Linked DNA regions of Arabidopsis thaliana. The protein of the gene in region 1 purifies or fractionates together with the protein of each later gene. This does not show direct contact. Each region holds a gene or a part of one and is shown on either strand. Other genes may lie near its edges. The genes, in order: AT4G24830 and AT2G35040.

The links.
Region 2: the proteins of AT4G24830 (region 1) and AT2G35040 fractionate together in Arabidopsis thaliana (co-fractionation; one large-scale study listed by BioGRID). This does not show direct contact.

What each region holds. Positions count from the first base shown.
Region 1 is NC_003075.7:12,792,029-12,797,959, reverse strand, and holds AT4G24830 (arginosuccinate synthase family), read left to right. Parts: upstream 1-1,928; 5' UTR 1,929-2,102; coding exon 2,103-2,175; intron 2,176-2,370; coding exon 2,371-2,426; intron 2,427-2,513; coding exon 2,514-2,595; intron 2,596-2,713; coding exon 2,714-2,852; intron 2,853-2,971; coding exon 2,972-3,020; intron 3,021-3,127; coding exon 3,128-3,310; intron 3,311-3,427; coding exon 3,428-3,502; intron 3,503-3,591; coding exon 3,592-3,777; intron 3,778-3,905; coding exon 3,906-3,994; intron 3,995-4,322; coding exon 4,323-4,875; 3' UTR 4,876-5,133; downstream 5,134-5,931. Other genes in the region: AT4G24840 (oligomeric golgi complex subunit-like protein), read left to right, coding at 153-353, 543-647, 748-873, 1,088-1,222, 1,322-1,435; AT4G24820 (26S proteasome regulatory subunit Rpn7), read left to right, coding at 5,361-5,499, 5,598-5,712.
Region 2 is NC_003071.7:14,764,392-14,769,996, forward strand, and holds AT2G35040 (AICARFT/IMPCHase bienzyme family protein), read right to left. Parts: upstream 3,928-5,605; 5' UTR 3,879-3,927; coding exon 3,771-3,878; intron 3,697-3,770; exon of another isoform or gene 3,678-3,696; coding exon 3,578-3,677; intron 3,481-3,577; coding exon 3,405-3,480; intron 3,302-3,404; coding exon 3,205-3,301; intron 3,049-3,204; coding exon 2,946-3,048; intron 2,839-2,945; coding exon 2,705-2,838; intron 2,609-2,704; coding exon 2,431-2,608; intron 2,346-2,430; coding exon 2,188-2,345; intron 2,058-2,187; coding exon 1,848-2,057; intron 1,778-1,847; coding exon 1,430-1,777; intron 1,341-1,429; coding exon 1,214-1,340; intron 1,108-1,213; coding exon 956-1,107; 3' UTR 754-955; downstream 1-753. Other genes in the region: URED (urease accessory protein D), read right to left, coding at 102-146, 245-319, 405-470, 556-654; AT2G35050 (kinase superfamily with octicosapeptide/Phox/Bem1p domain-containing protein), read left to right, coding at 5,317-5,605.

The DNA.
Region 1 (5,931 bases):
ATCTCCATTATGATTAGAATAGCAAGTAAAAAATGCTGTGGAAATTAAGTAAACTCGGAAGATCTGCTATAAATACATGAAATCAGATCACATAGACCATATGGTTGATCGTTTGATTTTTTGGGATTATTTACATGTTTCCTTCCTGGCAGGTTATACATGATGTAAATTGTCTAGTCTCAGAAGTTTGCGGCGATTACCTTGGACATATATCACAGTATTTATCTTCAAGCTCCACTGAAGTTCTTGATGTGGTGAGGATCAGCATAGAACAGGGTGGGGTATCATTAGAGAAAGTCCTACCTTTACTTACCAAGACAATAATTGACGTCATTGTTGATAAATCTGTTGAGGTAAACCTTTGAAAAAGCATTAGATCCGTTCTTTAATTTGTAAACTTCAAGATTTGCTTGACTGCCTTGGTGAGCACCTGCAGAAACAATGTTTCTTAGAATTTGCTGTATAGCTGAATTAGGTTAGAGTTATTCTCCAAGTCTGACACATATTTAACTCTGTAACGGTAAATGCTTTATCTCCTATAGGACCTAAGGCAGCTCAGGGGGATAACCGCTACATTTAGGATGACTAATAAGCCACTGCCTGTTAGGCACTCACCATATGTCGTTGGGCTATTGCGTCCTGTAAAGGTATTAATTCAGCTTTTGGTTGCGATTTTAAAAATATTTTATAGTTGCTTGACCGATGGATTCTGAAGTGTGGATTATTGCTCCTTCTCTTTTATAACAGGCTTTTTTGGAGGGAGATAAGGCTAGAAACTACTTGACCCAAAAAACAAAGGAGGAGTTACTGCATGGCAGTGTCAGTGAAATTACCAGGCGGTATTATGAATTAGCTGCTGATGTTGTTAGCGTGGTAAGTACTCTGTTATAAACACTTTTTGAGGATTTGAATTGACAATATAACCCCAGTAGCCAAAACAAAAACCAGAATCATTCTTTCTATCCCTAAAGATCGTTTTCAATTTTTTTTATTTTTTTTTTACTATAAAGATGCAGAGATGGTGAGTAATTTATGTGTAGTGAAAGGCGGTAGAGAATCTAGATATATTGATTGTATTATGTTACAGGCAAGAAAAACACAGTCATCGCTTCAGAAATTGCGTCAAAATGCACAGAGACGAGGAGGTGCAGCATCAGGTGTTTCTGATCAAAATGTATCTGAAACAGACAAGATGTGTATGCAGTTGTTCCTTGATATTCAGGTAAGACCTTCTTCATGATGATTCATTGTGTGATTTATAAATTTTCTCTGCAAATTTTTGTTTACAAGCAAGTAACATAATCGGATAATATCTTACCAGGAGTATGGCCGAAACGTTTCTGCTTTGGGGCTGAAACCGGCGGATATTCCGGAGTACTGTTCCTTCTGGCAATGCGTTGCACCTGCGGATAGGCAAAACTCAATTAGTGTTTGAGGACGCTCGCTTCCATACATACATCATTGTGGTATCATATATCTGATAATAAGAAATCGCTGCTTCTTCTTTTCTATAGCTTGTGTTTGTTTGCTTTAACAGTGAAGATAAGAGGAAGAGAGTTTTGTTGAAGAGAGAGTGTTTTTTTTTTTCCGCCGAAGTTGCATTATGTGAGGTCTGAGTTTAGTGCCAGCTTTGGCCATTTAATCTTTTATGTAGGACTATTTCATCTTCAGTATATAACACGCACCAAAGGGAATGAAACTTTTAACTCTTAATTTCTTTTGTTTTCTCGTATATAACTGAACCAAAGAAACTATCAATTGTCTAAACATACCAAACCGACATTTAACCGGTTTCGAATTCTAAATCATTGGGGAATTGAGAGAGATATACATTGTTTAACGGTGTATAATCTGTCGAAATCTGCTCTTAGTTTGTTGGGTTTAAATATGGAAACGTTTTTCATATTTGAAGAAAGAAAAATCAATGAGAAATAACAAAAAAACGATATCGCCGTCGTAATAGAGAAAAAAAAAAAAGAGTGTCGAAACCCTAGAGGACGTGGACACTGTTGGCATTCTTAAAAGAGCCACAAACCCCATTGTCGAACGAACACAAAACCAAACCGCAGACAAAGAAACAAATTCGCAGACAATAGTCGAAAATGGCTGAAATCTCGGCGACTTCGTTTCCTTCTTCTTCTTCCTCTGCTCTCGTCATCCGTAGCTCCCACAATGGTTCTCTCTCTCTCTCTATCCCCCCATTTCTTGTCTCCTCCATTTCGTTTCCTTGTTTTTATATTATTACCAATAGCTCTAGCTTGAATACAAAATTCTCCATTTCCCCGACAGTTTTCGTTTCTGATGTCTATTTTTATCTCCGCGAATTGCAAATGGGACTTCAAGTTATTAATATCTGATATAATTTCGCAGGTAGCTTAAAATGTCAGAATGTAGCTGTTCCAAAAACTACTTCCCAGTTCCAAGAGGTACATCCATTTGAAATCGATGCTCATACTTGTTGTTTCTTCGATGATACAACTAAATTCTGTATTTGCTTTTTACTGAATTTGCAGTTATCTCTGAAACGAAGCCAGCTTGTTGGCAATGCCGTTGTTACCGGTCATGTTACCGGATCCCGCAGCTGCAAGAATCAAGGTAAAGTTAGCATTACACTGAATCAATCCATTTCCTTTAACATATATTCTTTATCCCCTCTTGATGAAATTTTCCATTAGTACGTTTTAAACAATTTGCTGTCTTGAATATTGCACAGCTATTCGAGCTGTTCTATCCGGTGATGGAACCGCCTTGACTACTGATTCAAAGGAGGCTGGACTTCGTGGAAAACTGAAAAAGGTCGTTCTAGCTTACAGTGGAGGCTTAGACACCTCTGTCATTGTGCCATGGCTTAAGTATGTTTTCCTTTTTCTTGAGTTTATTTCTGACCTCTAACAAGAATACGTTTTGAATCTTCCTCTGGTTATGAAACAACTAGTCTGACCTTCCTTATATGTAACTATTTGTTTTCTAGGGAGAACTATGGTTGTGAAGTTGTGTGCTTCACTGCTGATGTTGGTCAGGTACATCACAAAAATGCCACATGTCAACTGTTTTAGTTAAGAAATGAAGTTTTATGTTGTTGCAATCTGCTTATGTCTTCTCAACCTCTAAATACTTTGATGTGAAGGGCATAAAAGAGTTAGAGGGTTTAGAACAAAAGGCTAAGGCTAGTGGTGCTTCTCAGTTGGTCGTTAAGGATCTCACAGAGGAGTTTGTGAAAGATTTCATCTTCCCTTGTCTTAGAGCTGGTGCCATCTATGAACGAAAATACTTGCTTGGTACCTCCATGGCTCGACCTGTCATTGCTAAGGTAACATTTCGAATGGTTTTATATGATTGACTTGTGAGGACTACCCCCACTATTTCTAATATCTGGATATATCTTTTGGATTACATATTGTCACTAATACATTTTCTAAATGATTAGGCCATGGTTGATGTAGCAGCAGAGGTTGGAGCTGATGCCGTTGCACATGGGTGTACTGGAAAAGGAAATGACCAGGCAAGTACTTGGAATGTCTTGCTAATGCGTCACATTGGAAAACACGCATTGATTCTTACATTACTTTTTTGTACTGATTGATTGACCAGGTTCGGTTTGAGCTCACCTTCTTTTCATTAAACCCTGAACTTAAAGTTGTGGCACCATGGAGAGAATGGGAAATCCAAGGCCGAGAAGATGCTATTGAGTATGCAAAGAAGCATAATGTTCCCGTCCCAGTGACAAAGAAGTCCATTTACAGCCGGGACAGAAACCTGTGGCACCTTAGTCATGAGGTAAAGTAAAAGACAAGTGTTGGTTCGCATTTTTCTTTTGGATACAAATTGATCCAGTTTGTCACATTGCTCAGTTCCTAATAATGTGTCTCATGCTCTGATATCAAACTTATGTGTTTTGTTGAAAGGGTGATCTATTGGAAGATCCAGCAAACGAGCCAAAGAAAGATATGTACATGATGAGTGTGGATCCTGAAGATGCTCCTGATCAGCCTGAGTAAGTTGGAATTTCTTTGAGCCCTTGTGTTTAACTATGCACTGTAATTACCCCAAGGTGGTTTGTAGTGGATTATAGCTGTGTTGATAGTTTGAAAACTAAAGTTGAGTCAGTTAGCTACAGAGCTGAGGTTTAGGCAGAATGAGTTGGTGTGTTCAGGATTTGTTTATGGTTTGGGATTGGGAATCAGATCTAGAATAGAGAGTTCTCGTTATTAAAGTCTCTCAAAGGAGTTAACTGGTTTAGCTGCTATGCTATCAAATTTAGATACCAAGAGTAGGATTTTGCAATTTGCATCCTAACTTTTGATACTTACACACTTATACAGATACATCGAGATCGGGATAGAATCTGGACTTCCAGTGGCGCTGAACGGGAAGGCTCTGAGTCCAGCCACACTTCTGGCCGAGCTAAACACAATAGGAGGAAAGCACGGGATTGGGCGGATTGACATGGTTGAGAACCGTCTGGTTGGGATGAAATCACGAGGTGTGTATGAAACTCCTGGAGGCACTATCCTCTTTGCAGCTGTACAGGAACTAGAATCCCTCACTCTAGACAGAGAGAGTATTCAGGTAAAAGACACATTAGCACTGAAATATGCAGAGATGGTCTACGCAGGAAGATGGTTTGATCCGCTTAGGGAGTCCATGGACGCTTTCATGGAGAAGATAACCGAGACAACCACGGGATCTGTGACACTGAAGCTGTACAAAGGATCTGTGTCGGTTACAGGGCGTCAGAGTCCTAACAGTCTGTATAGACAGGACATATCTTCGTTTGAAGGGAGTGAGATCTACAACCAAGCGGATGCAGCCGGGTTTATTCGTCTTTACGGGCTTCCAATGAAAATTAGAGCTATGCTTAAGAAAATTAGCTAGAAATGGTTTTCATTCATGTCTTACTTGGAATTGAGAGCCTGACATTAGAACACATCCCTTATTGTGATGCGTCGTCATAGCTTCAGCTTCTTTCGAAATAATTCTATCATCTTTCTTCACTTTGGAAAAACTTGAGAAATTTAATAATGAGTGCCTCTTTCTTTTATGATTTCCATTGGAAAGAGATATAAAATATAAATATCCATTACTTGAATTCAACGATCTTAAGTTTAAATTATTTATAACGAGAATTTAAATGTAAATGTTTTTTACTTTTTTTTCTTATGGTAAAAATTCCAAATTTAAATGTAAAAAAAGATAAGGGTGTTTAAGGTAATGCGAAACTTATTTTTTTTTTACATACACAAAAAAAAAAAACCATCGGACCTGAAATCTTTGTAAGCTCTTCCTCCTTGCTCAAGCAAACCTCTTTTTATATATTTGCTCTCTCTCTCTCAGATCCGATTCAAGCTTTCCGATTTGCGATGGACGGTGGAGCGGAAGGATCTCAGCAGCCTCACCTTATTCTAGCCAACAAGCTCTTCCTCCTCACTCATCCAGATGTTCCAGACATCGAGAAAGTCCAGCTCAAGTCTGAGGTTTTGGATTTCATCAGATCCCATGGTTAAGCAGCTCCTTTTCTCTAATCAGTGAGAATTAGCTTAATATTTCTTCGAGATTTTATGTTCCTGATGTTTCGTTGGTGTTTTTATTTATTTTAGGTATGGCTCCTTTGTACGAAACCCTAATTGCCTCTTCGGTGCTGGATTTGGATCAAAGCTTGTTAGAGTCTATGCGGGCCGCTAATGAAGAGGAGCTTAAGAAGCTCGACGAGAAGTAAGTTTCCTTCAGTTTCTCACTTTTATTTGGCAGTGCTTTGAAATTCGAATTCTCGTATTAGTATTTTGGGTTAGATTGATGTAGGGGGACTGTAGCATTCTGGGTCTCAAATTGGATTCAGAATTGTGTTTGCAAAAGTCCACTATGAATTTTGGGAATCTCCATGTTCCTGTGGTAGCTGATGTAGCATGATGTCTTAGTATTCTTAGGGAGATA
Region 2 (5,605 bases), on another chromosome or scaffold:
GAACATGAATCAAAGAAAATGGTCCTATTCTATTGCAATAGCACTCTGTTCTACTAAGAAAGCTCAAAATGATTTTAGTAGAAATGTGAAAGAAACATTACTTCCAATATCTGTTCAGAACACTTTGATCCTATTGCCTTGTACACCTGTGTGAAATCACAAGATCCATCAACAGAAAGTCAACCACGTAGGATGAAATTAGTGTCCATTGCAAAGAGAGAGAAAAGCCCTAAATTGATTCAACCTTAGTAGAAGACTGCGTTGTAATAACTGCAGTGCATCCATCACCAATTGTGAATTCACATGAAATCGAATCGCCCTACATAATTTGAACAAGAACTAGATTGATTCAAGCGCATCGATGGCAAATTCATTAATAAAGAGACAGAGAAATAGGGAAATACAGAGACAATGCCGCCACCATAAGTGATACTGTAAATCCAGACAACGTCAGTTCCAGCAGGAGCTGCCTGAAAGTTCAGTGTCGCCGGAACTTTAATAACTAAAGATTGAAAATTCGAAACTGTGAACTCTACGTAGAGAGAGAGAGGAGACCTTGCTAGGAAGTAAGAACTTGAGAGGATACTTCGAGAAGCAGCTCGTAGCTGTAGATCTTCCTCCCACTTTCTCCACCACCACTTTCCCTGTCGCCATCTCTGATCTCTCTCCACACTGTCGTCGACTTTCTCACTCCAGTTTGAGTAGAAATGTTGAATATTTTATATGCAAATCTCATCAGTTTCTGGATGTAGAGAAAGATATGATTTTGGGTGAAAAATGTCAAATTTATAAGTAGGAACAGCTCTCAGGTTCTAATCATACATAAACTCGAACGCAATCCAAATTAATGTTACAACAGTTTTATTTCCCACTCTTTGTGTTTTGTTTGGTGGGTTTTCTTCTTCAGAAACTCTCTTGGATGTGTTTATAAGAGCAAAACTGGAGGGATGTGTCCTTAATGGCGGAAATGTCTAACGTTGGTGAAGAGCAGAGAGACTCCATACTTTTTGCAGCAATCAATAGCGTCTTGGTCTCTAATACTGCCTCCAGGTTCTGCTATCACTCCTATTCCCATCTGGCACGCCTCTTCCACCGCATCTTTCCAAGCTGCAATTCACACAACAACAAATTTCCAATTCAGAACGGCTAACATTTGTTGATTGATGAGTCATTTCAGACAGAAGAATGGTTTCGGAGAGAAAAATATATATACCGAATGGGAAGAATGCGTCACTGGCCAAGGCAGCTCCTTTAGCTTCCTCCCCAGCTTTCTTGAAAGCTATTCTCAGACTCTCTACTCGGTTTGGCTGTCCGCTTCCCATCCCCAGCATACAATTGTTCTATGAGCCAACCCAAGAATCAGAATAAACTACTAGCAAACAAGTACAGAAAGAGAAACAAGAAAAGGAATCAGAGAGGAAAATCCAACCTTTGCTATCACAATGGCATTGCTCTTGACATGCTTAACGCAGAGCCAGGCAAATTTTGCATCCGCAAGTTCGCTTTCAGTCGGAGTTTTGTCTGAGACAGAATTGAAGCTGATGTCTTCTGGAGTTAAATCGTCCGAGTCCTGAGCCAACCAGCCGCCACCAACCTGTCTGAGCGATAGTTTCCCTTGGTCATTCTTTTTAGCTTCGAGGATCCTCAAAGTTTTTGATTTCCCTTTGAGGACTTCAAGACCTTTAGCAGTATACTTTGGAGCAACCACGATTTCATAAAACATTCTAGTTTCCCCGTCTGTTGGGCTCCTGAACTCTCGGATCTCCCTCGCAAGAACCTAGAGACAGTTACAGATCACTAAACAATTGAATAATGTATGGGACAACAGTAGTTTGACTTTTGATTACCTCGTCAACTTCAACATTGAAAGCTACAATGCCACCAAAGGCACTAACTGGGTCAGCTTTTACAGCTAGCCGGTAAGCCTCAAGAATATCATCACGAGAGGCCACACCACAAGGATTTGTATGCTTCACGACTACACATGTTGGGTTTTCAAATTCCGACACACAGTTCCATGCAGCGTCAGCATCAAGATAGTTGTTGTATGACATTTCCTGCTCACAGAAATAAATAGAAAAGTTAAACATAATAAGGCTTGAAAGCGAGGATAAGGATATAAATGGCAGTTTAAAACTATTTGCTCTGTAAATTACACCGGACAGAAAAAGTAGCATACTTTCTTACCTTTCCATGATGCTGAATCGCTGTTGCGATACCACCGGCATTCACTTCAGCAAGGCTCTTATCAACATAAAATGCAGCTTTTTGATGAGGATTTTCACCGTAACGAAGAGAACTCTTAAGTACAAGCGGAACTGTAAAGCTGGGAGGGAACTTCTCTTCTGAGAAAGACATGAATATCAATCAATGTAAGTTGCCAATTGCCATAACTAGTGTAAGGAGGATCACATAAAAACAATCACATACTTCCTTCAGTCTGCTTCCATAGCCATTCTGAAACCGCAGAATCATATGCAGCAACATGCTGAAAGGCCTTCCACGCAAGTTTTCTGCGGAATTGTTGGTCGCTCTGTCCTCCTTTGAGATACTCCAAAACAGCTTGATAATCTCCTGAATCGACAACAATGAGAACGTCTTTGTGGTTCTGTTGAAAAAACAATAGAAAATATACATTTATAATCTTGAAAATAATCTTGCAAGTGTAAAGAAAAAGTCTCATATGCACAGATATATGTATTACCTTAGCAGCTGCTCTAATCATAGCAGGGCCACCAATGTCAATGTTCTCAATCCCATCCTCAAAACTGATCCCACCTGGAGCAGTAACTTTTTCATAGAACGGGTACAAATTGACAACCACAACATCAAATGTACCTGTCATAGAATTAAAAAAAAAAAAGGTACAGTTAAACATAAGGAGACACTATAAATGACTTAGTCTCAAGCTTAATGTAGAGGATCAATCAAAGGTCAAAACTCACCAATCCCATGCTCATTAAGAGCTTCCATATGATGCTCCACATCCCTTCTAGCGAGGATACCACCATGTATGTTTGGATGCAAAGTTTTCACACGGCCATCAAGCTTTAAGAGAAGAAAAAAAAAAAGGAGAGCTAAGTTTAATATACTAAACTCAACAAAACAATGGTATAAACCAAAACTTAAATATAAATATCAGCGAGATCACAAGACCAAAACTTTTAGCAAGAGCAGCGAGCATAAGAGAAAAGAAAAACATGCCATTTCTGGAAAATGAGTAAGCTTCTCCACTTTGGTCACAGAGACTCCAGCATTCTCCAAAGTAGAGGCAGTTCCTCCAGTAGAAACAATAGTGTATCTACACAAATATCAATGAAAAAAGGAATCATTTACATATAAGATAGAAACAAAACCAAAATTTGTATAGTTCTAAGTAAGAGAGAGTTGTGAAGAACACATACCCCAATTCTTGCAGACCGTTGCCAAGAGAAGCCAAGTCCCTCTTGTCAGATAGAGATATCAAAGCTTGCTTCTCCCCTGATTCAATTAAAGCCCGATTATTTGAAAATCACTAAAACGTAACTGAAAATCGATCACTGAATTTGAAATTGCAGCAAAAAGAAAAATTGTAAACCAGAGGAGCCTGAGGATTGCGGCTGATTCCTCTGAGCAGTCTGAGACTCTGCCATGGCTCGAACAGCAACGAAACTTGGACACAGCGACGTACGATAGACCTGCTCATTGAAAATTCCACTAATATTAAAAAGTTTAGCAGAACATGAAACAAAGACACAAAGGAACACGTCCACACACAGAGGAGAACTCACAGGCTGAGTAAAACGAAAAGGCGCGACGGATTTTTTGCGAAACAAGCCGCAGAGAATATCGCCGGAGCGAGCACTCACGGAGGTGGCGGTGGCGGCTGAGCTGAGCATAGTAGTCTGATTTTGAAACAGTGTGTAGTGTTGAGCTCTGTTAGGTTTTGTGATTTTGCGGCTAATTTTGGAAATAAATTAGAAAAAAAAATAAAAAAAAAAGGAAAATATGTAATTTATTATTGGCGTCAGGTGGAATTATGTATTTATTATTATGGCCTTGACAGTTAGATTACACCTGGAATATTTGGAAAATTGGAATAAAGCTTCTCTTTTTATTTCCCCCAAAAATAAAACTAAACTATTTTAACTCCAAATTTTAAAAAATTTAGTAGAAACCAAAATTCTCAAGTGTAAACTAATTAGTAAGAAATAAAACTTTATTGGATCAGAGTGGTAATATTACAAAAGACTAACTATGGAGATGACGAAAGCTTCTTATGTTTTATATGATATTTTATTTGCTTTTCAGAATTTTAAATAATGTAAGTAGATAACAATTATTTTATTGGTAGGCATAATAGTTTTTTTCTCGAGAATATAGTTTTGTTTTTCGAATTGTCAAAATTAGAAGAGAGATTTTAAGGAAGGACTTGGCTTCTTCTCCTACTCATCGATCGTCAAACCGAGGACGCTTCACAGTCTCTGGTGCCGCCTTTCCTGGTATAAACCTTTTTCTCTACTTCTCTCCTTCTTTGCTTACTCGTCTTCCTTTTAGGTGTATGCTGTTTTTGAATTTTGATCATTATTATCGAAAATCTCTGGATCCGATGTGTTTCCACCTGAATTTCGGGTAATGATACTCAGATCTTGCATTTTCTAGAGTTTCAGTGGTTTTGATGGCTTGATCGGCTTTTGTTTTTTGGTTGGGTAGAGGTTTTTAGCTCAGTTTTTGGTTCGAAATGACGCTTATTTGTTTCCTTTTTGAGGTTTGGAATTGTTTCACGGACTTGATTGAATTTTGGATTTAGTTCTATGTTTTGATCTGTTGATTTACACTCTCTCAAAGTTACGATGGGTTTGCTAATAGTTTGGTGAAGTTGATCGATTTTAGTTTCAGCGATTCCTGTTAGTTTAAACTTGAAGAGACTAGAAAGTAGTCATTTTAGCTAGTTTCATGTTGGAAAGTATGCACAGTCAGATATTTGTACTGGATGATCTGTCCCTGCTAGAGTAAAGAGTTTTATTGGTTTGTATACCGAAAATGTTCCTTAAATAGTATGGTTTTCTGAGTTTTAGCCGTATGCTATTTTGGTTTTTTTGTTCTTGAATATGTTTGACTACTTGAGTAAAGTTACTCTTCTCCTATTTCAGGCACCTCAATGAGAGTTTGAGTTGTTCATGATAGAAGTCGTCCTGTTCTGCAGCCAAAACGTTAGAAATTTGCGAAGGATGCTTATGCAAAGATTTTACTTGGGTCATGATCATGATATGTCGCCTACAAGCGTTTGTGAGGGAGCTTATGAACTAGATAGATAGACACCTTGAGAAAGAAAACATGGATCAAGCAAAAGGTTATGAACATGTTCGGTATACTGCCCCTGACCCTAGAGATGAGGGACTTGGCTCCATTAATCAAAGGTTTTCCCACGACTCTTCAACTAATGTTAACACTTATGTACGACCTCCAGATTATGGTGTTTCAACCCCTGCTCGGCCAGTGCTAAACTACTCAATACAGACCGGTGAAGAATTTGCTTTTGAGTTTATGAGAGATAGGGTTATTATGAAACCGCAGTTCATCCCAAATGTGTATGGTGAGCACAGTGGTATGCCTGTTTCTGTTA